6 linked regions of the Macaca fascicularis genome follow. The main gene of each other region encodes a partner of the protein of the gene in region 3 in a complex. Links are inferred from orthologs where the notes say so. Each region holds a gene or a part of one and is shown on either strand. Other genes may lie near its edges.

Region 1 (3,337 bases), on a different chromosome or scaffold from region 3:
ATCTGTCCCTAGCTGAGGGACCTAACTCCAGCTTCTCTCTGTTCCCTTTCCCACATTTTAGAAACCCTGCGTTCAGAAATGGAAATGTTCAATGGTGAGTCCAGCGGTAATAGTGTGTGCTGGCCTGGGATTGTTGCAGTGTTTCCTTGTGCTGTTGACTTGAGGGGCCCTATTTAGAAGACAAAAAAACCCAAAAACACCTGGAGCAAAGGCAGGAGAAAGGTCATGGCAGGCCCCCCAGGCTCTGTGCATGACTGCATGACTCACTGGCTGAGTTGACTCATTAGACCACAGTTCCCAACATGACCTGGGTTCCTGGGAGGAACGGGATTATACCCAACATAGCATGCAGGGCCCTAAGCAGGGGGTTCCTTGCGTCTCCTTGTTGTCGGGACATTGTAATTTAGCCCCTCTGAATACAAATGCTCAGGACTTTTTTCCCTATCTCATTTTTCTCTGTAGTTCCAGAGCTGATTGGCGCTCAGGCACATGCCGGTAAGTGCCCAGATCAAGGCAAGTGGCCCTGACCTGCTGGATCCCTGTGCTCTCCCCCACCACGTTCGAGAATAACTGCCCTGTCCCTGTTTTCCTGCAGGTGGGGATAACCCTGTAGGGATGTTGCCCACGGACCCCTAGCTAGGTATTCAAATTTTCTTTGCAGTTAATGTGATTCTGGATGCAGAAACCGCTTACCCCAACCTCATCGTCTCTGATGATCTGAAGAGTGTTAGACTTGGAAACAAGCGGGAGAGGCTGCCTGATGGCCCGCAAAGATTTGACAGCTGCATCGTTGTTCTGGGCTCTCCGAGCTTCCTCTCCGGCCATCATTACTGGGAGGTGGAGGTCGGAGACAAGACAGCGTGGATCCTAGGAGCCTGCAAGGCATCCATAAGCAGGAAAGGGAACATGACTCTGTCACCAGAGAATGGCTACTGGGTGGTGATAATGATGAAGGAAAATGAGTACCAGGCATCCAGTGTTCCCCCAACCCGCCTGCTAATAAAGGTGCCTCCCAAGCGTGTGGGCATCTTTGTGGACTACAGAGTTGGAAGCATTTCCTTTTACAACGTGACAGCCAGATCCTGCATCTATACATTCACCAGCTGCTGTTTCTCTGAGCCCCTTCAACCTATCTTCAGCCCTGGGACACATGATGGAGGGAAGAACACAGCTCCTCTGACTATCTGTCCAGTGGGTGGTCAGGGGCCTGACTGAATGCCCAACACTGCATCTCTCTTCCAGCTTCTGGCCTTGTATCTTGCATTCACATACTCAACAGTCACGGAATGCCGCCTGGGTGCCAGCTGCTACAGGAAATGCAACGAATAACAAAATAGTTACTGTGCCCATGGAGCCTCCCCGATTGTAGCAGAGCTAAGTTAGGAACGAACGTATTAGTAAATCCGCTAAAGAAGTGTACTGATGACACACCATGGATTTCAGAGGAGGAAGTACAGGGTCGTTGCATAATCCATCCCTGGTGAATGGTACTCTCAGGTGCTCCTGAACAGAAGATTTGGCCCTCATTTTCCCTCAGAACCCCACGGCAAGGACATGTCCCCTGGTTCTCTCTGCTTTTGTCTTGAGGACATGGGAAGTCTAGAGAAACACAAGCAGACTGGATTGGGATAGAAGTATTTGTGTACCTGGATTAATGAACTATGACTTTTTTTTTTAGACGGGATCTTGCTTTGTTACCCAGGCTGGAGTGCAGTGGTACTATCTCAGCTCACCGCAACCTCCACTTCCCAGGTTCAAGTGATCCTCCTGCCTCAGCCTCCTGAGTAGCTGGGATTACAGGCGCATGCCACCACACCAGGCTAATTTTCTTGTATTTTTAGTAGAGATGGGGGTTTCACCACGTTAGCCAGGCTGGTCTTGAACTCCTGACCTCAGGTGATCCACCCACCTTGGCCTCTCAAAGTGCTGGGATTACAGGCATGAGCCACCCCGCCCGGCCTATGATTCTTTTTTTTTTTTTTTTTTTTTTCTTCGAGACTACTCTTGTTGCCCAGGCTGGAGTGCAGTAGTACAATCTTGGCTCACTGAAACCTCCGTCTCCTGGGTTCAAGAGATTCTCCTGCCTCAGCCTCCCAAGTAGCTGGGACTACAGGCGCCCGCCACCACACCCGGCTAATTTTTTGTATTTTTTAGTAGAGACGGGGTTTCACCGTGTTAGCCAGGATGGTCTCGATCTCCTGACCTCGTGATCCGCCCGTCTCAGCCTCCCAAAGTGCTGAGATTACAGGCTTGAGCCACTGCGCCTGGCCAAAGTTTACTTCTTAAAATAGGAAGTGCCATATTGCCCTCTTAAATAATTGTATTAATTTGCTTTCAGAATTCTGAATATTATTTTTGTAATTATTCTTTTAAATTTCATTTCTTTAATTGCATGTGACTGTAGCCATCTTTTCATGTTAAAAGGCATTTATAGAGATATATATTGTGTTTACACCCTTAATTTATGGTATCATTTCAAATCCATTTATGTCATTTATTTTACGGATTAGATTCTAAAAACAGGATTCCATCCAATTGTTTTAAAAAATCTTTATCGCTCTTTTTTTCCATCAAATTAAAAAAAAAATCTTTATCGTTCTTTTTTCGTCCCCTCCTCCTCCTGCCTCCCGAGATGGAGTCTCGCTCTGTCTGTCACCCAGGCTGGAGTGCAGTGGGCACGATCTCAGCTCACTGCAACCTCCGCCTCCCAGGTTCAAACGATTCTCCTGTCTCAGCCTCCTGAGTAGCTGGGATTATAGGCATGCACCACCACGCCCGGCTAATTTTGTATTTTTTAGTAGAGATGGAGTTTCACTATGTTAGGCTGGTCTGGAACTCCTGACCTCAGATGATCTGCCCACCTCGGCCTCCAAAAGTGCTGGGATGAGCCACCACGCCCAGCGTATTGTTCTATTTTTTTTTAAGGTTTTATTATTTTTAGTTACCAAATTGACATGTGCTCATTAAATGAAGTGACACAATTAAAAAAAAAGTGTAATCTCCCCCTTTTCTCCATTTCCACTGCCTCCCTATGAGTAACTATTTTATTTTTATTTTATTTATTAATTTGAGACAGAGTCTTACTACTCTGTCGCCCAGGCTGGTGCGCCTGTCACTCAGGCTGGAATGCAGTGGTGCAATCTTGGCTCACTGTAACCTCTACCTCCACCTCCTGGGTTCAAGCAGTTCTTGTGTCTCAGCCTCCTCCCAAGTAGATGAGATTATAGGTGCCCGCCACCATGCCCGGCTAATTTTTGTATTTTTAGTACAGATGGGGTTTCCCCATGTTGACCAGGCTGGTCTCGAACGCCTAACCTCCAGTGATCAGCCCACCTCT
Region 2 (4,835 bases), on a different chromosome or scaffold from region 3:
CCTTATGCATAAATGGGGTCTGCAAGGAGCGCAGACGTCTCTAGCCCTCCCAGCCCTCTGCAGATGAGACACAGACCCCAAGTCCAGGGACTTTCAGGGCTGAGCTCTCGACCCCATTGGCTACCAAGAGCTGGGAGGCCTTACACACAGCATTCACCTCTGTGGGCCTCAGTTCCCCCTTCTGTGGTCTGGAAGAGAACAGTGGCTCTGAGTTTTTCTGGGGTCACTGGACCTTTTGAGAATGTTGTGTGAGCAATGGGTCCTCTCCCAGAAGCATTCCTGTGAGGGTGACCACGGTGCCCATGACTACGGATGGCTCTGGGGCTCTAGCCCGAGAGCTGAACTGGATTAGCCCCTTAAGTCCTCACCTCGACCCCACGAGCTAGGTCCTTTAAGTCCTTTTACACATGGGGAAACTGAGGCACAGAGGGGTTAAATAATTTGTCCAAGGTCACGCAGCTGGTAAATGGCAGAGCCAGGTTTGGACCCAAACATGCTGATCGCAGGCTTGCATTCCGAACCACTCAGCTGCCGGTTCTCAGATGCTGACCCCAGGCATCTGACTCTGGAATTAATAAGCCAGTTTTATGATGAGGCTGGGAACTCCATGCCATCTGTGCACTAAGGGTGATTCACCAATGACTTCTAGGTGTTACAGATCAGGAAACACAACTGGGGAATGGACAGGACAAGCTCTGCCATGGACTCTGTGTGGACTTGGACAAGTGATCTTGCCTTTCTAGCCTCAGTTTCCCCCCTGAGAAGAAGTCAGAACTGGCCCCTACCCTGTAGATGGGTTGGAGGAGCACTTGCGATTGGAAAGCACATAGTAGGTGTTCATTAAAGACACTCACATGGATACATACAAGAACAATCTCAGGGCACTCACCCACCTAAATGTTCTGCCCCTAGTGTGAGCAAGGGAAATAAACTGGGTAGAAGACAAGAAAAGCCACTGAGAGCTGGGGATGGTGCCTCTGTAGCACCTGTGAGTCCCCGGGGAGGAAGCACCACAGGAACCAGGGGGGCCGGGTGTGGGGGCTCACGCCTGGAATCCCAGCACTGTGGGAGGCCAAGGCAGGCAGATCGCTTGAGCCCAGGAGTTTGAGACCAGCCTGCAACATGATGAAACCCCATCTCTACAGAAAATACAAAAATTTGCCGGGAAGGGTGGTTTAGGCCTGTGGTCCCAGCTACTAAGGAGGCTGAGAGGTGGGCGGATCGCTGGAGTCCGGGAGGTCGAGGCCGCCGTGAGCCATGGTCACGCCACTGCACTCCAGCCTGGATGACAGAAACCCTGCCTCAAAAACAAACAAAAACACAGAAACCGGGAAACCAGCCCCAGCTCCTGACATCATCAGAGTGATGCCACGCCCTGACATCCCCCCTCCAGATGGTGCATGCTCTTTTTTTTTTTTTTTTTTTTTAATTCTCTGATGCTGATTCAGAAAATAAAAATGTGGAGGTCCAGGTGGGCTGTGTCTGGAACTGGGAAGGTGAGGGAAGTCCTCTGTCTCAAAGGCCTCTTCAGAGGATGCTCTGGTCTTGCCAAGTTTACAGCTCCTCCCTGTCAACATCAAGTCAGGGCCCCAACTCTGTCTTGCTCATCCACCCAGCTTCCAATTGTCTTTCTTTCAAAAGACACACAGTGAAGTTTCATTTTCTTTTTCTCCTGAAACCTAATCTGGCCGGGCTGGCTAGGCATCTATTTCCGGACTGTAAGCAGCTGACACCCGCCCGGTGGAAGTTGGCGTCCCTTCCCTTGCGGGTTCAGAGCTGCAAGAAGCACCAGGCTTGGCCACTTAAGCCCCAGCCTTGATCTAGCCCACCCTCTCAAGGCCACAGTGCAGAAGCCTGCACCACCTGCCAAGTCTCCCCGGCTCCTTGCAGCTGCTGTGAGCATGGCCCAGGCTCCTGCTGACCCGGGCAGAGAAGGTACAGTACTCCTTCCTTCCAAGGACCAGCGGTGGCTCCCGGGGTGAGATTTCCACTTCTCTTTCTTCCTGTTGTGCTTGGCCCAGATCATGATGACAATACCGGTATCCTAAAGAATAGTAGACCAACTGGGCATGGTGGCCCACGCCAGTAATCCCAGCACTTTGAGAGGCAAGGTAGGTGGACTGGTTAAGCTCAGGAGTTTGAGACTAGCCTGGCCAACGTGGTGAAACCCCGTCTCTACTAAAAATACAAAAATGAACCAGGCATGGTGGTGCATGCCTGTGATTCCAGCTACTCAGAAGGCTGAGACTGGAGAATCGCTTGAACCCGGGAGGTGGAGGTTGTAGTGAGCTGAGATGGCGCCATTGCACTCCAGCCTGGGTGATAAGAGTAAGACTTCGTCTCAAGAAAAAAAAAAAGAAAAGTAGAAAGCTGTCGTTCGACAGCTGACTATGCCCTGGGCACCTCAAAACAAGCTTCGCAAGCATTTCTCAATGGCCTGCAGGGACAAGTGCCATGTCATTCCCATTTTATAGATAACTGAGGCCCTGAGAGGTGAAATGACACTCTCGGGGTAGCACAGCTGGTGAGCACTGGTGCTAGCGTTTGAACACCCATGTCACAGTCATATCGAGAACAAAGCAGTTTGCTTTGATGAGGTACATGTATGCCCTTGTTCCTTGTTGTTGCATTCTTTCCTCAACTAACATTTCATTCATTTTATTCCTGGAAGAGCTGCAATGAAAGCCAATAGTGTATCAAGCAATTGCTGTTCTCTAGGGTCTCCACGAAGCGCTGTGGACTGTAGGTGAAGTGTGGTTTTGCAGTTTGGGGGATGGGTTTGTTTTGTTTTTAATCCTCACCGCAATCTTTGAAGTAGTTATTATTGTCTCCATTTCACAGAAGGGGAACCTGAAGCCGGGGGGAGGTCACATAGCTAGTAGTTGTCAGGGCTAGGAGCTCAAACCCAGGAAATCAGCCATCAAAATTTTAAAAAACCAACCCAGACTGTGCCCCTGGTGGGCTAATGTCAGGGTGTGGCCAGGAGCCGCGCTGGCCACCGAGTTCCTGTGGTGCTTCCTCTTCGGGGACTCACAGGTGCTGACAGAGGTTCCGGACTCAGCCCTCGCTGGCTTTCCTTGTCTTCCTCCCCAGTTGATTTTCCTTTTGTGACCAAATTGCTGCCTACACCTGCTCCATTTTACAATTTTCCATTTTCAGACATAGGAGCCTGGGACTTAGCGGTCGAGTCTAGCCCAGCACCCGGGCTTGTCCTGCATCCACACCTCTGACCCCCATCTCCTCTTGGATCTGTGGAGCAGAGGTGGTGGCTCCCTAGGGTCAGCCTTCCAGAATCAAAACTCTGCAGCCGGGCACAGTGGCTCACGCCTGTAATCCCAGCATTTTGGGGGGCCAAGTTGGGGGGATCACCTAAGGTCAGGAGTTCGACACCAGCCTGGCCAACAAAGGGAAACCCTGTCTCTACTAAAAATACAAAAATTAGCCGGGTGTAGTGGTGCGTGCCTGTCATCCCAGCTACTTGAGAGGCTGAGGCAGGAGAATTGCTTGAACCCGGTGCGTGTCTGTAATCCCAGCTACTTAAGAGGCTGAGGCAGGAGAACTGCTTGAACCCAGGAGGTGGAGGTTGTGGTGAGCCGAGATCGCGCCACTGCAGCTGCAGACTGGGCAACAAGAGTGAATCTCTGTCTCAACAACAAAAAACTCCGAGAGACAAGGCGAAGCCAGGTGTGAAGTCAGGTGCACGGGGATGCTGCTGGCTGCCGGTGGGGGAGTTTGGTAGGCGCAGGAGTGGGAATTCCCAGGTCTTCTCATTTCTCTTCACCTGCACACGGTAGCCTGTCAGCATTGTAGCCATCAGGGCGAGGCACAAACTGATTTTTCCCTCCCCTACAAGTGCTGCGACCGAAGATCCCTGGGCAACCCTAGAGAATCCTCTGAACAGGAAGAAAGCCCAGATGACAAGGACTGAGTCACTGTCCTGGAAGGGGAACTCGGGTCTTTCCCAGAAGAGCTCTCCCACGCACTGCCCTCGGGTTCCTTGAAGCAGAACCTTCTGGTGACAGGTGGGCCCCCCCCCCACCGTGGCTCTCCCAGGCTGCTGGCTGCAGGTGCTGCCTGTACCCTGTGTCTGCCCCAGCCTCATCTCTGGGCAGTGGCTGGCTTTGATTTTTTAATCATTGTTTGAGCTAATGGTTTTGATTTTTAAGAGCTGCCTCAGGAGGAGCAGGGGCCATTTGGAGAATTCCTCCTTGAATCTCTTGGGGTCCTGCTTAGGGCTCATTAAACTCAGGCCAGGAAACAGCAGCACCTGCCAACTGGCCAAGGAGGAGCTGCCTGGGTCTACTGAGTAAATGTCTGTCCCTAGAGACAGACACTCACTTACTCAGTCCTTTTTTTTTTTTCCAGAGATGGGGTCTTGCTCTGTTGCCCAGGCTGGAGTACAGCGGTGCATTCATAGCTCACTGCAGCTGCAACCTCCTAGACTCAAGCGATCCTCCCATTTCAGCCTCTTGAGCATCTGGAACTACAGGCACGTGCCATCATACCTACCTGATTTTTTTTCTGTTTTTGTAGAGATGGGGGTCTCACTATGTTGCCCAGGCTGGTCTAGAACTCTTGGCCTCTAGGGGTCCTCCAATCTCAGCCTCCTGACATGCTAGGATTACAAGTGTGAGCCACCACTCCTGGTCCCATTCATTCATTCATTCATTCACTCAGTCACTCATACATTCAACTGCCATTTCCTGAGCACGTCCTGTGTGCCCAGCACTGTGCTACATGCTGACGGTACAACAGTGAGCCACGCAAGTACAGCAGGGGACACGAGGGGACCCACACACAAGCAGATCCCAGCCACTCTGGAACACAGGGACAGG
Region 3 (5,101 bases):
AAACATGAATGTTGATAGCAGCATTATTCGTAATAGACAAAAGATGGAAAAACCCAAATGTCTGTCAATTGATGAATGAACAAAATGGATATATGTATACATATTGTTATGAATATTATTCAGCCATAAAAAGAAATAAAGCCTGATAAATGCTACCTGGAACCATCATGAATGAAGCTTTAAAACGTTATGCTAAGTAAAAGAAGCAGTCACAAAAGACCACATATTGTATGGTTCATTTGCATGAAATCCCCAAACTAGGAAAATCCACAGAGACAGAAAATAAATCTATGGTTCCCAGGGGTTGTGGGGAGGAGGAAATGGAGAATAATTGCTAATGGGTATCACAGTTGCTTTTAGGGTAATGAAAATCTTCTGGAGTTAGATAGTAGTAAGAGTTGGATAGCTTCATCAATATACTAAGAACCACTGTATGCTTTAAAAGGATGAATATTATGGTATGTGCACTGTATTTTAATAAAGGTGTTCTTTTATATATTTATATATTTATTTATTTTTTGGGTGTTTTTTAAAATTTTTTTATTTATTTTTATTTTTTTTGAGACGGAGTCTTGCCCTGTCTCGCCCAGGATGGAGTACAGTGGTGCAATCTCGGCTCACTACAACTTCTGCCTCTGGGTTCAAGCGATTCTCCTGCCTCAGCCTCCTGAGTAGCTGGGTCTACAGGCATGCGCCACCATGCCCGGCTAATTTTTGTATTTTTAGTAGAGACGAGGATTCACCACGTTGGCCAGGCTGGTCTAGAACTCCTGACATCGTGATCTGCCCACCTTGGCCTCCCAAAATGCTGGGATTACAGGCGTGAACCACCTACCCAACCTTAATAAGGGTGTTAATTAAAAAAACAAGCTAGGCACCTAGGGTATAAAATTGAAGGAGGCTCTGATTCTCAGGGCCACGCAAATGCAGGGCTGGCACCTATGAGTGTGGCCCTCCTGAAATGTTGTGCCTTAGGCACCTGGCTCTCCCTAATTCAGGCCCTCAGGAGAAAGCCCTAATTCTGGTCAGTTCGCAACAGGAGGACACGGCTTCTGGGAGACACTCGGTGCTCCAGAGAGAGGCATTTGGTCCGTTCTCTTCCTCTGGACGTCACCGTGCCGACATGAAATGCTTCCAATTGCGTCCAGCCTAGGATGGAGCGGGGTGGGGAGGATATCTGGTGACATTACGAACTGCTGCATCAACTCCCCCGAGTCCCTGCCTCTGGACCCCCGAGAGAGGACACAAGGAGTGTCCGGAGCCCATGTGACTCAGTGTCTCTTCCCATCACTTCGCGGGAAAATGGGGCTGCTTACACCGCACCGCAGCCCAAGCACCTGTGGCTGGAGAGGGGCTCGGGCGCCAGGAGTGAGGAGCCTGGTTCTGGGCCCGGGACCGGTACTAGTTAGTGGTGGGACCTGGAACAAATGGTACTAGTTAGTGGTGGGACCTGGAACAAACGCTTTGGTTCTAAGTGAATCCCTCATATTCATGACATGAGGCGTGGAACACAGACCCATGGGGCCTTCCCACTGGAACATGGAGCTTGGCTGTCACCCGACCTTCGCTTCCTGAGGTAGAAAAGCCCAGGGTTCCAGGCTCTGTCTCCTTTCCCGCAGACCCCTTGTTTCTTGGCGCGGAGGCCCTGGGCCCCGCAGGCTCCCACCCACTTCTCTGGGCTCAGAACTTCTCTGGGTTCAGAACCCGATCCCGAAGCGGCCGTGGCGCTGCCGGTGGCCGAGGCCGGGCGCGCGCCTTGGGGACCTGGCGGGCCTCAGGCTGGCGGGAGCATTCGCGGACCTCGCCCTGGGCCGGGAGGACTGGGGGACCCTGGCCTGCCCCTTCCCCTAGCCCTGACCTCGGCCACCACGCGCGCCGCCCCCGCTGGTCCCGCCAGGCTCCGCCTGAAGGCAGAAAGCGGGGCGGGGCGGCGGGGTGGGGCGCCTCGGCCACCACGCGCGCCGGCCCAGCTATTCCCGCTAGGCGGAAGCGTGGCAGGCGCCCGACCCTGCGGTATAAAAGCGGTGCCCGCAGAGGCCCTAGTGGGAGTCCGCGGCGAGCGCAGCAGCAGGGCCGGGTCCTGCGCCTCCGGGATCGGCGTCCAGGCTCGGAGCGCGGCACGGAAACGGCGGCGGCGCTGGACCAGGTGGTAGGTGCGGGCGTCCCCGCGCAGGGCGCTGCGGGTGGCGAGGCCGGGTGCGCGCCTTGGGAACCTGGCTGACCTCAGACCGGCGGGAACATTCGCGGACTTCGCCCTGGGCGGGGCGAACTGGGGGGACCCTGACCTTCCCATGTTCCTAGCCCTGCCCTCCGCCACCGCGCGAACGCGCGCGCCTCCCAGGATAGTCCCGGCAGGCGCAGCCCCAGTCAGGCGGCTTGTCAAGTATGGAAGGAGCCTAAAAACCCCCGTCTCCCAGACAGTTTAAAAGGCGGTGCCCGCCAAGGCCCGAGCGGGAGTCCGCGGCGACAGCAGCAGCAGCAGCAGAGTCACGTCTTGGGCCCTGGGGATCGGCGTCCAGGCTCGGAGCGCGGCACGGAGACGAGGTGGCAGGTGAGGGCATCCCCGCGCTGGGCCGGGGTCGGGAACGGGAATGGCGAGCTTCAGGTCCCCCGGCTGCCACCGAAAGATGAGACCTGAGGACAGGAGAGGTCGCTCATCCAAGAGCCCCGGGGAAGCGGTGGTGTCTCGGCGGGTCAGGAACGGTCTCTGGGGGGTCCCCTGCAGCGCGCAGCCGGTTTCCGCCTCCGCAGCTCCCCGCCAGCGCGGACGCCGCCCTCCCCCACGCCTCCTCGCTGCCCTTCTCCGGCCGAAGCTCTCCCCTGCAGCCCCTCCCCACCTGCCAGCCCTGTTTTCTCACTGCTCCTCTCTGCTCTGGGATCCGCAGGATGACGGCACTTCTCTTTCAAAGTCACCAGTCTCCAGTTCCAAATCCGAGCACTCTTACCCATCCTAATTCTTTCAATAATTCAGCGAAACGGATGGGGCCCGTCCTTCCCCGGAGCATTCCTCCAGGGACTGTGAATCCGCGGAGCCAGGCTCAGCCGTCGCCTGCAGGGCCTGCGGTCTGTGGGGACCGCCAGCAAGATGAGGAGTCACCTTCGGGACGAACGGTCGTGCTGGGGAGGGTTGCGCCGGCGGGGTCAAGGGAACCTCCTTTAGGGTGGGAATCAAGCCTCCAGGCCGCGGTGTTTGAGGGTGAGTAGAATTAATCCCGTGATGGACATGGGGCCTTGTAAGGGGGACCAGGAGTTTGTGAAGAGGTGACTTTGGGAGGGGTTCAGGATGGCCAGAGGTGGAGGCTGTGACCTGAGCGAGGCTGGATCAAGGGAGGGGGCAGGTGGAGAAGAAACCGTTTTAACAAGGTGGCTTTGAGCGGATCCTAAGGGTTCTGGGAGATTTAGGAGGAAGGACAAGAGGATTAAGACACGGCTTTCTGAGGATCCTGTGTGGCTGTGGCCCGGTGGTGGCTGGGGGAAGCGGGTTGTGTTCATTGTCCAAGGCTCTCCAGTGCTTTGCGTGGCGTTTCGGGGAGCACACATGAGGTGTCCCGACAGTGAGGAGTGGCTCTAAGGTGAGCAGAGGCTCGGGAGGGGGCCTGCGCATTAGGCCAGGCACAGGATCCGAAGTGGAAAGAAATGTGGGCGAAATGTGGGCGTAGAGGGCAGGCCTTGGGGATGGGTGTGGGGGACGAGGGGGATGGAAAGGGGTCAGGGAGGTCTCCCAGGCTCACCTGGAGGAGTGAGGGTCTCATTTCCAAGGGCACTGGGAACTGCAGCCTGGGGGTGGGGGTTCATTTGGTTTCAGACCTGTGGCGAAGAGACCCACCCCCTCACATTCACACTTTGGCTTCCACTAGCTTCAGAGGTAGTACTAGCTCTTTGTTCTCGCTGGTTTTCCTTCCTCACCTTGGGCTGTTTCTTGCCTTTTCCATTCTGGCGTTCTGCAAGGACCAGTTCCTTCGTCTCATGCACCATCTACACTCATGGCTTTTGCTGGGAGTAATGAGTAAAGCTCCCAAATAGATGTTTCTGAGTTAGAGCACTGAAAACAAAATGAAGCAAAAACAATGCATTTCCAATCTTCCAAGATCACATGATGTCCAGAGGACAGTGATGGGCAATGACTTTTTGTCTTCCCCATTAGAATGCAAGTTCCACAAATGGAACACGGAGATTTTTATTTATTTATCTTTTTTTATTTGAGACGGAGTCTTGCTCTGTCACCCAGGCTGGAGTGCAGTGGTGCAATCTTGGCTGACAGCAACCTCCGCCTTCTGGGTTCAAGCAATTCTCCCACCTCAGCCTCCTGAGTAGGTGGGTCTACAGATGTGCGCCACCACGCCCAGCTAATTTTTGTATTTTTAGCTTCATCATGTTTGCCAGGCTGGTCCGTAACCCCTGAGCTCAGGCAATCCACCCGACGGAGCCTCCCGAAGTGCTAGGATTACAGGTGGGAGCCACTCCACACAGCCAGAACAGAGATTTTTTATGTTTAATTCACAACCGAGGCTTCACTGCCTAGAACAGATGCTCAGTAAATATTTATTAAAGGAATGAATTCCTTTTTGTATCTCTTGTATCTATCACCAGATACTCTTGTATCTAGTACCTATTTGGCATACAGTAGAAAGCTTTGTTGAGTGAATAGCTCTGCCTTTTGTCTTTTTTGGTATGTATACATCTTTTAAAAAATAATGAATAGACTTTTAGAGCTGTTTTAGTTTACAGCAAAACAAAGCAGAAAGAAAATATCCCCTCCCACAAACATCCTGGACTGTATAGCCTCCCCTACCATCAACATCCTGCATTAGTGTGGGGTATTTGTTACACCTGATGAACCAACATAGATACATGGTTATAAAAATGAACCAATATGGATAAAACATATACATTATCAGTCAAAGTCCAGAGCTTGTTAGGTTTTGCTCTTTGTGTATATTCAAGATACATTTGACAAATGTATAATGAGATGTACCCAACACTGTAATATCAGATTCCACTGCCCTAAAAATCCCTTGTACTCCACCTACCTATCCCTCCTTCCCTGCAAATCCCTGGCAACCACTAATCTTTTTTACTATCTCCATAGTTTTTCCTTTTC
Region 4 (4,355 bases), on a different chromosome or scaffold from region 3:
CAACTCTGGCGATCCACCTGCCTTGGCTTCCCAAAGTGCTAGGATTATAGGCATGAGCTGCCGTGCCCAGCCTGAAGACAGCTATTTAAAACAACAAGTCCAGGAGAGACATGAGGTAATGATGCAAGATCCAGCTGAGAGTCTAGTAAGTAATCAAAGACAAGAAATAATGCACAATCAAGTCTAGATCAAAAGGAAATAGGAGGTTGGTCAGTTATTTCGGAGATTGATTGTATTTTAGCTTTAATTTTGTGGACTAAATCAATATATGTTAGTGGCCAGATTAAAAGCTGAAAACTGGGACAAAGAACATGACCTTCCTATCCAAGGTCATTTTACACTTGAGTTTTCCAAGAGGACTGGAGAGTCTTCCTATCAATTCCTTCTAAAACTAACCCAAGGCAGCAGAGGTTATTCTGAGGCTCTGAATGCAGGGGCAGCAGGTTCCCTCTCTACGGTTCTTCAGGTCCTGCCCTAGACCAGAAAAAGTCATTCCACAAGGCTAGTTCCCTGAAGCTCAGAGTCATAATACTTTATTATTTCTCACTTCTAATAAGTCTCCTCGAGGAGTGCCTCTGCCCGGCCACCCCACCGTCTGAGAAGTGAAGAGGGCCTCTGCCCGGCCGCCCCACCGTCTGGGAAGTGAGGAGGGCCTCTGCCCGGCCGCCCCACCGTCTGGGAAGTGAGGAGGGCCTCTGCCCGGCCGCCCCACCGTCTGGAAAGAGAGGAGCGCCAGCCGCTGTGCAACCTTCCAAGTGTGAAGTGATAGCCTTGTATGTGATCTTTTCTGTCTTCCCCAAGTTTGCATTTTCGACATTAAAGTTTACTTTTAATTAAAAAGAAAGAAATAAATAAGTCTCCTCAAGCTAACTCTTTCTTCTGTTTTCTTCATTTAATCACAGTTCTTTAATCCTGACTTGCATATTGGTTTTTCAGGTCAATTAATTTGGTTGATTACTCAACTACACTTATTTTGCAATCACAACAATAGTCACTTAAAATAAAGATAATATGGACAAAGTACAAAAATAACGCAGAAATAAAAACTATGTGAACGAACTAATTCCTTTTTCAGAGGCTACTGGGATAAGAATAAGTTGAAACAGGATTGTGACATTTTTGACAATAAAAACAATTTTTGAGTTTTCGTATGAATTTTGGCATGTTAACTCTGCAGCTCTTTAGAACTTTGTATTTTTTTATTTTGTCTGTATAGACATTAACACCTTTTCTAAAGTCTCTTTAAGATCAGATGGAAAATACGTTATTCTTACTAATCAATATGAAATTAGCTATGAAAACTTACCTTCTGGACTACAAACAACCCATTCACAATTGTTCCAAGGGGCTGAGTTTGAAGCGTGTTGATCTTTGGGGTTTCACCAGCTTTTCTGATAATGTTCAGCGGGACATCAACCTTTTGGTCAGATTTAGCATCTAACACACATGAGGCGCTATTTACCTCTAAGAAACCACTGTGCTGATAATATCTTGATATTATAATCATTCTCTTTGGAATGAATTTATCTTTCAGCAGTGTATTAAAAACTTTTACAAAGAAGAATTCCTTCTCTGTAGCCACCGTAGCATGAAACATCTCTTGCTTGCCTTCTTGGGTCTCAAACGTGAAGGGCTTTGTTGCTTTCAGTACCATAACTGGCAAACAGTCTTTCCGAAACTCTTCTCTGATAGATTCCTGCTGGGCCACCCTCTGTTTCTGCTCAGGCTGAAGACAAGAGAAGAAAGATATCAGCTGTGAGTCAAAAAGGTACTATTGAGAGGACCTTCCTTCACCCACAGTGCTAAGCCTCAGGAAACCACAGAAGACAGGTGGAATCAAGGGAAGAGACACAGAGGGGATAAGAAGAGACTTGAGGCCTAGAATGATCTAGATGGAACAGAGAGTGCAGAAGGAAGATTTCAACTCCTGTATTCAGATAAGACGGTGTAACATGTTTTGGAGGAAGGATCCCTAAAACCAAATCCTTGCTTTGCCATGTGCTGTATAAAAAGACTTCATCAGATTTCTGAAATATTGCTAAGCCTCGGGGTAAATCTGATAAATCTGATTCCATCTTCTGTGGATTCCATTCGGGCATAATATATCCTTGTTTCTCTATCCAACACTGTCCTAAACATTCATTTTACTCTGGTATAAAAGTGAGAGAGCTCAGTGACCTGCACAGGGTTCCCCAAATTCCTAGGGAGGTATTGTACGTAACAAAATGTAGACTATGTTTAATGTGAGTTAAGGGGGAGACCTAGGTCAGAGATCTTACAAGTGAGTTAAAGGAGAAATTTAAAAGGAGAATTGATACTACATTTGTGGATTTACCCTTAAATAATGAATTATGCACTAAGGTTTACATTTTAAAAATATATCTTATTATTTGAAATTATAAAAAAAGAAATAATTTAAATACATAAAAAATAGAATTTGGTTAAACAAAATATGGTATAGTCACAAATAGATTACTATACAAATATTAAAAATGCTTTAGAGAAATAATGTGATAAACTGTTATAACTGACTCAATAAAGGGAAAGGTCCTAAACAGATAAAAAATCTCTTTCTTTTTGGATAAATAAGCAGTTAAAGCACATACACAAACACACTACAGAGATATTTACCAACATCAATATTTTTTTCCTAGATGATACAATTATAGGTAATTTTATTCGCTTCTCTGTGTTTTTTATTTTTCTGAATTAACAGAGATAAGATACCTTTTTTGGTTTGTTTTGGGAGAAAATACTACTTTTTAAAAGCAACTTGCCATCTAGAACCAAATGGAAATACAGGGAAAAACAAACAGAGGCATAAAAAGTCAAGTGTAGGAGTCTCGAAGGCTGTCTCCGATGTGACCTGAAGCTTGGGCCAGTGGAGCTGGGGCCAGTAAGGGGCCCTGACGGGCAGTATAACTGACTGCATTTGGATCAATGCAGGTAAAGGTCAGTTCCACTGAGTTCCACTACAAAAGTCCTCTTTGGTCCATGTATCTTTAGTTGAGTCTTCCAGACTGAATGATGCACATTTTCATTACTGGTGATGGAATCACACCATGTATACTTGAACCTTGTTTTCTGAAAAATCCAGAAGTTTCTGGGCCAAACCCAGAGGAAATGGCTCCTCTAGACAAAGAGAATGAAGTATGTGTAATCAGTTTCTAGAGCTCACACAGCTATAAAATGGTGTAACACCTGCTTCACAGGAAATGAAATTGCATGTGTGGTGGATTCTGTGTTGGGCCTTTCCGATATTGCCTGCCGCTCCCTCAGGACTAAAGTAATCATTCTCATCAATGAGACTCTTCAGGCACTACTCTCTCAGCTAAACAGGGCCACCTCACCTTGTCCATGCAGGTGTATAAAGGGCTTTTTTACATTACTTTTAAAAAGCAATTTGCTGTCAAGAACTAAGGGAAAATACAGGGGAAAACAAACAGAGGCATGCCAGGCCGAGTGTAAGAGTCTCTGCAATAGATCTCTGATGTGACCCAGAGCCTGGGTCTGTGCAAACCACAGACTCCCCCACCAGTCTTGGGAGCCCTGAAGGGCATTCTCAGCTCCCGAGCTCCCTGTGGGGTAGGCCAAGGCCTCTATTGCAACTATATTGGACTTGACATTCTTCCTCTTCTACTCCTTTCACTTCCTCACAGATACTAATTCTGAAAGTGCTCTAAAATAGACTTCCTGTAAACAACTGTCTATCTCAGAGTTTTCGTCTTATAGAATCCAAACCATAACAGAGTGTTAATGTGTCCAGGCCCTGACAGAGATTAGAAGCTCAACAGGTGTTTAATCTGATTAATCAGAGGTAGTTCCTGTTTTTGTGACTCAGAGTGCTTTTCACACTGTGGCCTTAATTCCCTTATTTGCATGCTCTGAGATAAAGAACAGAGAACAATGTGGGAAATGACAGTGACAGTGATGCTCTTACAAGGACAAAGACCACTCCACTCTCCTCATCCTACCTTAACATGAGGAGAGACTTTTGGTGCAGCACGTTGCTTTGTGACATCATTTCTGACGGCTGCAGATGCAGCAGGACTCATTTCAGGTTGACTTAGTGGCTTTGGTTTTGTTACCGATTTGTATTCCTTATCAACTGATTAAAAAATGGAAGACATGGCCAATAAGCATATAAACATATGAGCAGTGCACATTTTCAAATGTCACCAGAAATAAATACTAAAACCATATTAAGATATCTTCAAGAGCAGTTAATTTTTCTAAAAAAAAAAAAAAATCTTGTTTTAAAATGAAAGAAACTGGACCTGGCACAGACACCTGTAATCCCAGCACTTTGGGAGGCCAAGGCTGGAGGATCAACCCGAGGCCAGGAGTTTGAGACC
Region 5 (5,034 bases), on a different chromosome or scaffold from region 3:
GGCTACCCCTTTTGATGGTTCTCAGCTTCTGACTCTAGGCTTTTCTGAGGACCTGCTACACTTCTTGCCTTCTTGGATTCTGTGTGATACCACCATATCTCTATACTAAAGCCTACTTCAGACGGATTTCATGAACTGTGCAGGTGAGAGCCCTCAGTCCCTATAGGAACCCGATCTCCTCTTTCCTCCTACTGAGTATGGAGCTCCATCTAGGATGATCAGTGCCTTAAAAGAGGCTTAATATTTTTGGTTGTTCATTTATTCATTCAATTCAACAAATATTTATTGGGTATCTGCCATGTATTGGCTTTTAAAGAGACTACAGTTGAACAATTCCCTAAATAGCTCCAAAATAGCATGAGCTGACCCTACCAGAAGCCATGGTGTAGCTCTCCAGGAGTTGTTCTAGAAAAAACTGCTGATCACTTCTGCCTCAACCAGAAGAGCCCATGGACCGCTGAACAAAATGGAAAGCAAGTACCAAGGTGAGCCCCTTTTAGTGAAAGCCAACACACAACCCACAGGGTTGAGTATCCCTGTGAAGGACTGAGTGCCTAGGGCTGGCCCTATCGGGTTCCCACAACCTCCAGTCATGGTCAGACCTCCAAAAGGTAAAATATGGACACCTTTTTTCTGCCCTAAATCTTTAAGACTCTCCATGCTTCTGGGTTATCAAAAGCCTGTGTCCAGAGCATGTGCTTGTCAGGAACATTAATTAGGGTATTTGCATGCAAGAATTGTCATGCAAGAGAGAGGGCAGGAAAGCTCTGAATTGTTTCCACTGCAGTGTACACCACAATGTCACCAACTCGCTGGATGGGCTGGTATATCTAGCCTTACCACAATGCCCTTGGAGTGGGTTTGGGGTCTGCCAGCTCAAGGAGCTCCTGTTCATAGGGCATATAAGTCCCTATGAACATATAAGTCCCAAGGAATACAAATAGGGATCCTTCACTACATCGTTGGATGCTTCACAACTTTCCCAGCCTCCTGCAGGACCAGCTGAGTGGTCCTGCAACCTATGTGAAAACAGGTGAAACCTATGTGAAAACAGCCCTGAAACCTATGATGTGAAAACAGGATAACTTGATGGTTCAGAGCCATTATTTCCATATGGGCTTAGGCAAGGTACTTAAACTCTCAGTGTCTCAGTTTCCTCATCTATAGAAAGGTAATAAAAGCAGTACCTATCCCCTTAGGGTTCGTGTGAGAATTAAATAAGCTAATCTATGTACCTGGTGCATGATAAGTTTTATATATGCATTGGCTATGATCTTAGGGCAGCTATGAGAGAGCTGAGCCCTAAAACCATAAAACCTGCCTAAGCACCATCTCCACTCATGGCCTGGCAGGTGGTGGAGCAGGAAATCCTGTGGGAAAAGAGAAGGCTTTGACTGTAGGAGTGGGTTGATTGTGGGTTCCTGGAAGGTGAGGACCCATTCCCTAACATCCTCAATGCCCAGCCACACCTAACCTGGCCGCTGCATGCGGCAGGCACTCAGGAAACGCTAGTCAGGGAGAAAGACACTAGCTTTCGCTTTGCCCCCTGCCCCACCCCAGGGGCGGGACTGTAGAGGCGCCTGTAAGGGAAGTTGTTCAGTCAACTCAGAATACGGGTAGCAACCCGGAAAGTGGAGTCACCGTCCTGGTCTAGAGACTGATCCCTGCAGAGACAGATCCCTTCCCCTCTCTGCCAAAGACCGCAGCCCCAGAAGTCATTCCATCTCCTACTGCTCGCAATTTCCAGAGGCCCCCTCGCACCTTCCAGCCTGATGTCGTGCGTCAAGTTATGGTGAGTAGGGAGAGGCATGTCGATCGCAGCCTCCGACATTCACACCCAGAGCGCCCCACGGACTCGCTCAGAGAACGCCTTTGAGTCTGGAGACGGTGGGGGCCGGCGAGAGAGGCCGGGGATTGCAGTAAGAGCGCCGAGTCACAGGGGCGCGGGGAGCAGCGCTGGCGTAGGGCACTGCCGGCTAGTGGGCGACACCCCTGTCTCAGGCCCAGTGGTGCCTCCGCCTCCTTGGTGTCCATCGAGGAACTGGAAAACCAGGAGTTCGTCGGCAGAGGCGGGTTCGGCACAGTGTTCCGGGCGCGATATAGGAAGTGGGGCTACGACGTGGCGGTCAAGATTGTAAACTCGTGAGTGACCCCTGTTGCCCCCCCGGCCGCAATCTGGCCAAAAAGGTGGAGCCACTGTGCTCTGGGGCCTGAATGGGGAATGGAGGGATTTTTCCCACGACCCCGGGTGACTCCAGCTCTCTCCTGGAGTGTAGGAAGGCGATATCCAGGGAGGTCAAGGCCATGGCAAGTCTGGATAACGAATTCGTGCTGCGCCTAGAAGGGGTCATCGAGAAGGTGAACTGGGACCACGTGCCCAAGCCGGCTCTGGTGACTAAATTCATGGAGAACGGCTCCCTGTCCCGGCTGCTGCAGCCCGAGTGCCCTAGGCCCTGGCCGCTGCTTTGCCGCCTGCTGAAAGAAGTGGTGCTTGGGATGTTTTACCTGCACAACCAGAACCCGGTGCTCCTGCACCGGGACCTCAAGCCATCCAATGTCCTGCTGGACCCAGAGCTGCACGTCAAGGTCAGCTGCTCTACACCCCTCTCAGCCTCAGGACAAGGTCCCACCCCAGAGCAGCTCCAGCCAGGCCCACTGGACACCAGACCTCCAGAGCCCTGTCTATTGAATAGGCGTAGCCTCTCCCTCTGGACACAGGGCTGCCAGGGCACAAAGCCCAGCCAGGAGTTTTAGCTCCTGCCATACCAGGTGATAGAGGCCCCGACCCACACGAGTCCTTTCCACCAGCTGCCCCACCAACCCCTCCAAAGAGTCATGGCTGACCCAGCCCTGGAGACTCACACCTTGACCCAGCCCTACCACAGGCACCTAGATCTACTATCCAAGGGAGCCTCTTCCCTTGACCTCCACACTCCCTTTACAAAGCTGAACCTGAACCTTCTGGGGGCAAGGGGGTTTCTGGAGGCTGCCTGGCCCCCTTGTCTTCCCTACCTCCCACTTCTTTCCTTCCTTTGCAGCTGGCAGATTTTGGCCTGTCCACATTTCAGGGAGGCTCACAGTCAGGGACAGCATCCAGGGAGCCAGGGGGCACCCTGGGCTACTTGGCCCCAGAACTGTTTGTTAATGTAAACCGGAAGGCCTCCACAGCCAGTGATGTCTACAGGTAAGGATCCCAGCCCAAACACACAGCCGGGATTCCTACACTTCTCTGGGCCCTCCCAGGGGGTGATGTATAGGAAAGGAGTCTTGCCAGTGATTGGACTGGTCCTCAGCTTTGTGTCTCCTGCAGCTTCGGGATCCTAATGTGGGCAGTGCTTGCTGGAAGAGAAGCTGAGTGTAAGACTCTAGGCGGATTCTGGGATCCTTAACCCCAGGTGCCCTTCTCTTGAAAGCCCCAAAGCTTCCCCTTCCTGCTCACCTACTAAGACTGCCCTCCTCCATCCTTGTGCTCCCACATTACACTCCCTGCCTCTTTCCATGATGGAGCAGATATTCCCTTTTACCCTGAATGCCTTCTCTTCTCACCCTCCTCCCCTACTCCAGTGCCAACAGAAGCATCACTGGTGTGTGGAGCAGTGTGCAGGAGGCAGACCCGGCCCTCATTGACTGAGCTGCCCCAAGCTGGGCCTGAGACTCCCGGCTTAGAAGGACTGAAGGAGCTAATGCAGCTCTGCTGGAGCAGTGAGCCCAAGGACAGACCCTCCTTCCAGGGTGAGCTGGCCAATTAGCTGGATCTGGGGTAAGCTTGGGTCTGTCAGCATGGGGCTTTCCTCAGGAAAAGAAGATTTGCTCACCTGCAACCCACTCTGCTGTCCCTCTAGAATGCCTACCAAAAACTGATGAAGCCTTCCAGATGGTGGAGAACAATATAAATGCTGCTGTCTCCACAGTGAGCGCCAACATCACCCCTCTCCAGGAGCTGGTCAGGGATGGCACAACATGGCTACCTGGCCATCCAATGACTCACCATTAACCACAGCTTTTTTATGCCTTGACCTTTGTCCTCACCCTCCCCAGCCCACCCCTGAGTTCCAAGAGACTACTCCCTTGGGTTTACTCTGGCTCATCCAAGTCATACCCAGCAAACTCCTCCCATCCCTGCAGGTAAAGAATTTCCTATCTGAGCTCAGGAGCAGCAATCCGAGATTTTCTACCCCCGAGTCAGGCCAAGGAGGGACAGAAATGGATGGCTTTAGGAGAACCACAGGAAACCAACACTCTCGTAATGATGTCATGGTTTCTGAGCTGCTAAACAAACTGAATCTAGAGGGGTCTCCCAGCTCTGTTCCTGAAAAATACCCGAGCCTTACCAAGAGGAGCAGGGCACAAGAGGAGCAGGTTCTGCAAGCCAGGACAGCAGGGACATCTTCAGATTCAGTGGCCCAACCTCCCCAGACTCCAGAGACCTCAACTTTCAGAAACCAGATGCCCAGCCCCACATCAACTGGAACACCAAGTCCTGGACCCCAGGGGAATCAGGTGAGACATTGGCAGGATTAGGGGATGCACTAAGAGTCCTATAAATGCTGTCCCCTTGCCAGGCAAAACTTGGGGCTGAGAGGAGTGCACTGGGCGGTCCAGGCTCCAGGACAGAACTGGATGCTCTGTGATGTTTGCAGGGCGCTGAGAGACATGGCATGAACTGGTCCTCCAGGACCCCGGAGCCAAATCCAGTAACAGGTACCCACTCTCCACCTCTTTCTTTTCCCTGTTCAATTCTTCCATGAGACTCCTCCTCCAGATCTATATCTAGATTCAGGGTACTTTCTGGAGGCGAGGGGAGAAGATCATCTAACTCAACCTCATTTCATAAATGGGAAAACTGACACCCCCTGAGAAAGGAGCCCTCTGAGGTCACACAACGAAGCTTGGATTTTTCCCTGAGTTTTCTAACTTTCCACAGCATCAGCTCTGTGAGCCCCCTAAGTTCCATTGTTTCAGCAGTCCAGAGGACTTCCCAGCAAAAAAGATCAGGGTCTCAAATGTCAATTGCTACTCTCTAGAGCTTCTGCT
Region 6 (4,792 bases), on a different chromosome or scaffold from region 3:
AACCCTTTTTAAAAATTCATGGCTGGGTGTAGTGGCTCACACCTGTAATCCCAGAACTTTGGGAGGCCGAGGTGGGTGGATCACCTGAGGTTATGAGTTTGAGACCAGCCTGACCAACATGGAGAAACCCTGTCTCTACTAAAAATCCAAAATTAGCCACGCATGGTGGTGCATGCCTGTAATCCCAGCTACCCAGGAGGCTGAGGCAGGAGAATCACTTGAACCCGGGAGGCGGAGGTTGCTGTGAGCCGAGATGGCGCCATTGCACTCCAGCCTGGGTAACAAGAGCGAAAATCCATCCCAAAAAAAAGAAAAAAAAATTCACATGGGAAACAGAGGCGGATGGCAGAGAACAGGGGAGTGGCTGGGCACAGTGGCTCATGCCTCTAATCCTAGCACTTTGGGAGGCCAAGGTGGGTGAATTCCTTGAGGTCAGGAGTTCGAGACCAGTCTGACCAACATGGTGAAAACCCGTCTCTACTGAAAATACAAAAATTAGCCAGGCGTGGTGGTGGGTGCCTGTAGTCCCAGCTACTTGGGAGGCTGAGAGGCAGGAGAATCACTTCAACCCAGGAGGTGGAGGTTGCAGTGAGCCAAGACCGCACCACTGTACTGTTACATGGACAACAGACTGAGACTCCATCTCAAAAAAAAAAAAAAAAAAAAAAAAAAAGAGAACAAGGGAGGGTCTGGGGTTCAGAGCTTTGGGGAACAGACCTCAGTAGCACCAACACTCCAGGATCAATGCTACAAAGACACGGGTTACAACTAAACTGGAGAACATGGCCAAAGAAGGGAACTGAAGTGTCCTGGCTCAGCCCTATTTAGGGCTGTTTAGCTCTGTTTAGGGCTGAGCCAAGTAGGGCTGAGTCAGAACACTTCCTCCTTTTTTTGTGAACAGTCTACCTACATTTCAGCTACAGGGGTGGCTTCACCCAGTCCGTAGGGAGGGAGGAGAGGGCTGGTCTATGACTTCAGTGCTGAGGTTTGGATCAAGGCAGAGGGAAACTTCCTCTTCCCAGACCCTTTGCAAGGAAGAATGGCATATTACTTGTCACCGACAGGGGTTATGATTACTAAATGGAGTCAGTATAAATGCTTTCCAATAAAGCACGTCCAGCGCTCGGGGTTTTAGTTTTGCATGTCCATGAAATGTCTGCCACCTCCCTCTTCTGAATGGTTGGAAACTGGGCATCTGTTCCTTTAAATAGGAAACATTTCTTGTTCGGGTGAGTCATCTCCGTTCTGCTTTAGGAGTAAAATTTACCCTGCAGTTCATTCTGCTGTGAAGTTTTCTCTTTCTCTCGGAGACCAGGTTCTGCCCTTCTGCTGGAGGGAAGTGTTTTCACAGGTTCTCCTCCTTTTATCTCTTGTGTTTTTTTTTCAAGCCTCCTGAATTTGCTAGTCAACTCAACAGGAAGTGAGGCGGTGGAGGGAGGCAGAAGAGCCAGGGTGGTTACTGAAAGTAAAAGAAACTTCTTCCTGGGAGCCTGTCCCACCCCCTTCCCCACTGAGCACGTGGAGTTAGGCAGGTTAGGGGGCTCAGAGACTGCGATGGTGCCAGGAAAGGGTGGAGCGGGTGAGTGCCTGTTGCCGAGGTGGCCTCTTCAACAGGAAACCACATATTTTTGTTTCTTGACTTGCTCTAGAAACAGGGCTGTGGGGGCGGGGAAGAAGCTTGGATCTGCCCGGCTGAGGACACCTCTGGGTGCTGCCTGGCCAGGTCTCCTGTGGGGTTTCTCTCTGAGCTGTTGCCTCTGATCTTGCTACTTTTTCACTCTGAGCAGTCTCCATTTCCTCTGCTGCCTTTTTGTCCTCCCAGCTTCCCTACTGCCTGGAATACAGATACACAGTCTCCCTCCTGTGAACCCGTTTGGAGAGTCCAGAAAACTTTATCAATCCACTTTTTTTTCTTTTTCATTTGGCTCTGGGGCCGAGGGTTAAGTTCTTTATTCTGTCGAATCACAGTGCCCTGAGGTGCACAGACCGCTTACCCCTCTTCCGTGTCTTAAGGGTTTCCTTTTATGTCTCCACCCCCACCCCTGCCCTCCTGCCCTCTCTCTTGCTCCCCAAAGATAATTCTCTAATGTTTTGATGTGGATTCGTGAATTTATCTGTATCTTTGCAAAATGTATTTTTCTTTTGTATATGTACACTGTTTTTTAACTATGCCATCTCAGGCAAGTAAGTAATTCCTCTGTACCTCTGTTATCTCATTGTTAAATGGGATTAATAATGCCTTGAGAGGTGACTGTGAGGCTTGAAGGAGATAATACGCACACATCACTTACTACATGAGTTAGCAATTATTATTGCATATTAATACTATTGGCATTTTATTTTACTCATTCTGTTTCTATTTCTTTTTTATTTATTTATTTTTTGAGACAAGATCTTGCTTTGTCACCCAAGGCTGGAGTGCAGTGGTGCAATCATGGCTCACTGCAGCCTCGACATCTTGGGATCAAGCAATGTTCCCATCTCAGCCTTCAGATTAACTGGGACCACAGTCGTGTGCTACCACACCTGGCTAATTCAAAAATTTTTCTTCATAGAGATGGTGTCTCACTATGTTGCCCAGGCTGGTCTCAAACTCCTACGCTCAAGGGATCCTCCCGCCTTGGCCTCCCAAAGTGCTAGGATTACAGGCATGAGCCACTGTGGCCATCCAGGCATTGATGTTATCAGGCCACCTTGACCTAGCCCTCTCTGGTGAAGAGTCCTTTTCAGATACTTCATTCAGTCTTCTCAGCTATGAGTCCCTGCCCTCTGAAAGCTTATATTCTATTTGGGGAAAGACAAAAGGCAGTTTCAAAGAAGAGAGGTGCTTGATTTTCTTTTCCTACTTTTAACATCAGAAAACATTTCGTCTAACTCTCAGTATGAAGGCAATCTTTTGTTTACTGATCTGTCCCTAGAGCCCAACATGGTGAGGGCCCCAGGATTTGCCTCTTTGATAAGATGGTAAACCCATCTTGTGGCTGACTTCGTGGTGTCCCCAGCTACACTCATATACAAGGATCACCTTTGGTAAGATAGGGTTACCATCTTACCAAAGAGTTTTTGCATTTTAGAGGTTTTTCTTTTTAGATTTTTTTCATTTTAGAATTTTTTTATTTCAGAGTTTTTTTCTTTTTAGAGGTTTTTCATTTTAGAGTTTTTTCTCTTTTAGAGTTTTTTTTTTTTTTTTTTTTTTTTTTTTTTTTTTTTTTTTTAGAGTTTTTTAGGCGGCTGAGAGTGGAATCTGGTGACTTGGGGCCACAGAGATGCTCCTTGGCTAAACCAGGGGCTTTAGCTCTGAACGTTCACAGTCACCCTGAGAACAAAGATGAGGGCTCTACGATGTCCAATCTCAAGACTTCTCCGAGGTGCTCCATCAAGATTCATTGAATGAAAAAATTAAAGTCTTAATGATGAACCCAGAAAAATCTTTAAATCCTAAATACGAAATGAAAGTGTTCTTAGTTACAATCCAGTTCAACGTCCTCATTTTGGAATGTGGAAATGAGGCCCCAAAGGTAAAATGGCCCATCATAGCCAGGGGCCAGTGCTCAGGTGGCCAGATGCCCCGCCCCACCCTGCAGGCAGTCTCTTGGACCATCAGGCCTTTTTCCTCCAGCTTTAGAAGCTTTAGAAGGTGCTCTGTTCACTCAGGGGCAAGTGGTAAGCGTTCCCTCCCCTCTAGTGTTTGTGACTTAGGAGTTTCGAAACAGGAAGTACAGCTGGCTGTGCCCTTCATCCTTCATTAGACGTTTGCTCTTGTCTTAGATGCTCAGATGGCAGTGGAGAGGCCTGTAACAAAGGTGTTACCATCGTGAGAGTAAGGTAAGGATTTGCCCCTTTGTTAAGGTCAGAGGGGCCTTTTGGGAGAAGGCCTTTGATTCTGGAGTTTTTTAGGCTGCTGAGAGTGAGGTTGGGTGGCCCTGGGGCTATGGAGGTGATCCTCGTATGTGAGTGTGGATGGGAAACCATGAAGTTAGTGGAAGAGGTAGCAGTCCCTCTGAGAGCCTTGCCGAGGGCCGTGCAGTTTCCAGATCTTGAGGCCAGTCTGGCTTAGACTGATTAAGTGCTAGGAGTTTCTGAAATGCTGCCATTTACCTACTTGTATAAAGGCTTCATCCTGATCCCAGCTAAATTTGTGAAACAAAGAGTAGAAGCCAAAATTTAAATCTCAACTAACTTTGCTGCTACAGCTATCCTCCCACCAACACACATACCCACCAACATACACATTTGCCAACATAAACACACACACACACACACATACACACACCCATGTGGTCCTACTAATTCAATTATTTATGTTTTAAAGAAATTTAAAAAGGCTGGGCGCAGTGGCTCACACCTGTAATCCCAGCACTTTGGGAGGCCGAGGCGGGTGAATCACCTGAGGTCAGGAGTTTGAGACTAGCCTGACCAACATGGAGAAACCCTGTCTCTACTAAAAATACAAAATTAGCCGGATATGGTGGCGCAGGCCTGTAATCCCAGCTACTCGGGAGGCTGAGGCAGGAGAATTGCTTGAACCTGGGAGACAGAAGTTGTGGTGAGCCGAGATTGTGCCATTGCACTCCAGCCTGGGCAACAAGAGCAAAACTCCGTCTCAAAAAAAAAAAAAAAAAAAAGAGAAAAGAAAGAGAAATTAAAAAGATACAGAACAGTTCAAAAAACAATATAATGGGAAGACTAGATGGACAAAATCGGAGACCTGCACTTGTGGGGTTAAGCATTTACGGGTGAAGTTGCAAGTTTCATTCTGTTTGACAATGATGGGATTATGTGTTTTGTTGAG

What was found.
Region 1: RIPK1 (region 3) and MEFV share a complex: the UniProt entries of both Homo sapiens proteins name them as parts of the AIM2 PANoptosome complex. The link is inferred for Macaca fascicularis from reciprocal best matches to the Homo sapiens genes RIPK1 and MEFV.
Region 2: RIPK1 (region 3) and ZBP1 share a complex: the UniProt entries of both Homo sapiens proteins name them as parts of the AIM2 PANoptosome complex. The link is inferred for Macaca fascicularis from reciprocal best matches to the Homo sapiens genes RIPK1 and ZBP1.
Region 4: RIPK1 (region 3) and AIM2 share a complex: the UniProt entries of both Homo sapiens proteins name them as parts of the AIM2 PANoptosome complex. The link is inferred for Macaca fascicularis from reciprocal best matches to the Homo sapiens genes RIPK1 and AIM2.
Region 5: RIPK1 (region 3) and RIPK3 share a complex: the UniProt entries of both Homo sapiens proteins name them as parts of the AIM2 PANoptosome complex. The link is inferred for Macaca fascicularis from reciprocal best matches to the Homo sapiens genes RIPK1 and RIPK3.
Region 6: RIPK1 (region 3) and CASP8 share a complex: the UniProt entries of both Homo sapiens proteins name them as parts of the AIM2 PANoptosome complex. The link is inferred for Macaca fascicularis from reciprocal best matches to the Homo sapiens genes RIPK1 and CASP8.

The regions. Positions count from the first base shown.
Region 1 is NC_088394.1:4,035,749-4,039,085, reverse strand, and holds the end of MEFV (pyrin), read left to right. Parts: exon of another isoform or gene 1-61; coding exon 62-94; exon of another isoform or gene 95-169; intron 170-462; coding exon 463-495; intron 496-661; coding exon 662-1,215; 3' UTR 1,216-2,596; downstream 2,597-3,337. UniProt on the Homo sapiens protein: Involved in the regulation of innate immunity and the inflammatory response in response to IFNG/IFN-gamma.
Region 2 is NC_088384.1:113,683,049-113,687,883, reverse strand, and holds the start of ZBP1 (Z-DNA-binding protein 1), read left to right. Parts: upstream 1-1,749; 5' UTR 1,750-1,901; coding exon 1,902-1,935; exon of another isoform or gene 1,936-1,978; intron 1,979-3,533; exon of another isoform or gene 3,534-3,684; intron 3,685-3,853; exon of another isoform or gene 3,854-4,022; intron 4,023-4,365; exon of another isoform or gene 4,366-4,501; intron 4,502-4,827; exon of another isoform or gene 4,828-4,835.
Region 3 is NC_088378.1:169,999,674-170,004,774, reverse strand, and holds the start of RIPK1 (receptor-interacting serine/threonine-protein kinase 1), read left to right. Parts: upstream 1-2,044; 5' UTR 2,045-2,149; intron 2,150-2,452; exon of another isoform or gene 2,453-2,551; intron 2,552-2,971; 5' UTR 2,972-2,979; coding exon 2,980-3,196; intron 3,197-5,101. UniProt on the Homo sapiens protein: Serine-threonine kinase which is a key regulator of TNF-mediated apoptosis, necroptosis and inflammatory pathways.
Region 4 is NC_088375.1:102,018,568-102,022,922, reverse strand, and holds part of AIM2 (interferon-inducible protein AIM2), read right to left. Parts: intron 4,109-4,355; coding exon 3,975-4,108; intron 3,133-3,974; coding exon of another isoform or gene 2,938-3,132; exon of another isoform or gene 2,627-2,937; intron 1,727-2,626; coding exon 1,307-1,726; intron 868-1,306; exon of another isoform or gene 558-867; intron 116-557; exon of another isoform or gene 1-115. UniProt on the Homo sapiens protein: Sensor component of the AIM2 inflammasome, which mediates inflammasome activation in response to the presence of double-stranded DNA (dsDNA) in the cytosol, leading to subsequent pyroptosis.
Region 5 is NC_088381.1:92,153,066-92,158,099, reverse strand, and holds the start of RIPK3 (receptor-interacting serine/threonine-protein kinase 3), read left to right. Parts: upstream 1-1,607; 5' UTR 1,608-1,772; coding exon 1,773-1,792; intron 1,793-2,001; coding exon 2,002-2,142; intron 2,143-2,276; coding exon 2,277-2,586; intron 2,587-3,038; coding exon 3,039-3,184; intron 3,185-3,310; coding exon 3,311-3,357; exon of another isoform or gene 3,358-3,395; intron 3,396-3,564; coding exon 3,565-3,732; intron 3,733-3,842; coding exon 3,843-3,910; intron 3,911-4,125; coding exon 4,126-4,500; intron 4,501-4,640; coding exon 4,641-4,701; intron 4,702-5,034. UniProt on the Homo sapiens protein: Serine/threonine-protein kinase that activates necroptosis and apoptosis, two parallel forms of cell death. Necroptosis, a programmed cell death process in response to death-inducing TNF-alpha family members, is triggered by RIPK3 following activation by ZBP1.
Region 6 is NC_088386.1:97,036,776-97,041,567, forward strand, and holds the start of CASP8 (caspase-8), read left to right. Parts: upstream 1-1,407; 5' UTR 1,408-1,554; coding exon 1,555-1,579; intron 1,580-3,766; exon of another isoform or gene 3,767-3,825; intron 3,826-4,792. UniProt on the Homo sapiens protein: Thiol protease that plays a key role in programmed cell death by acting as a molecular switch for apoptosis, necroptosis and pyroptosis, and is required to prevent tissue damage during embryonic development and adulthood.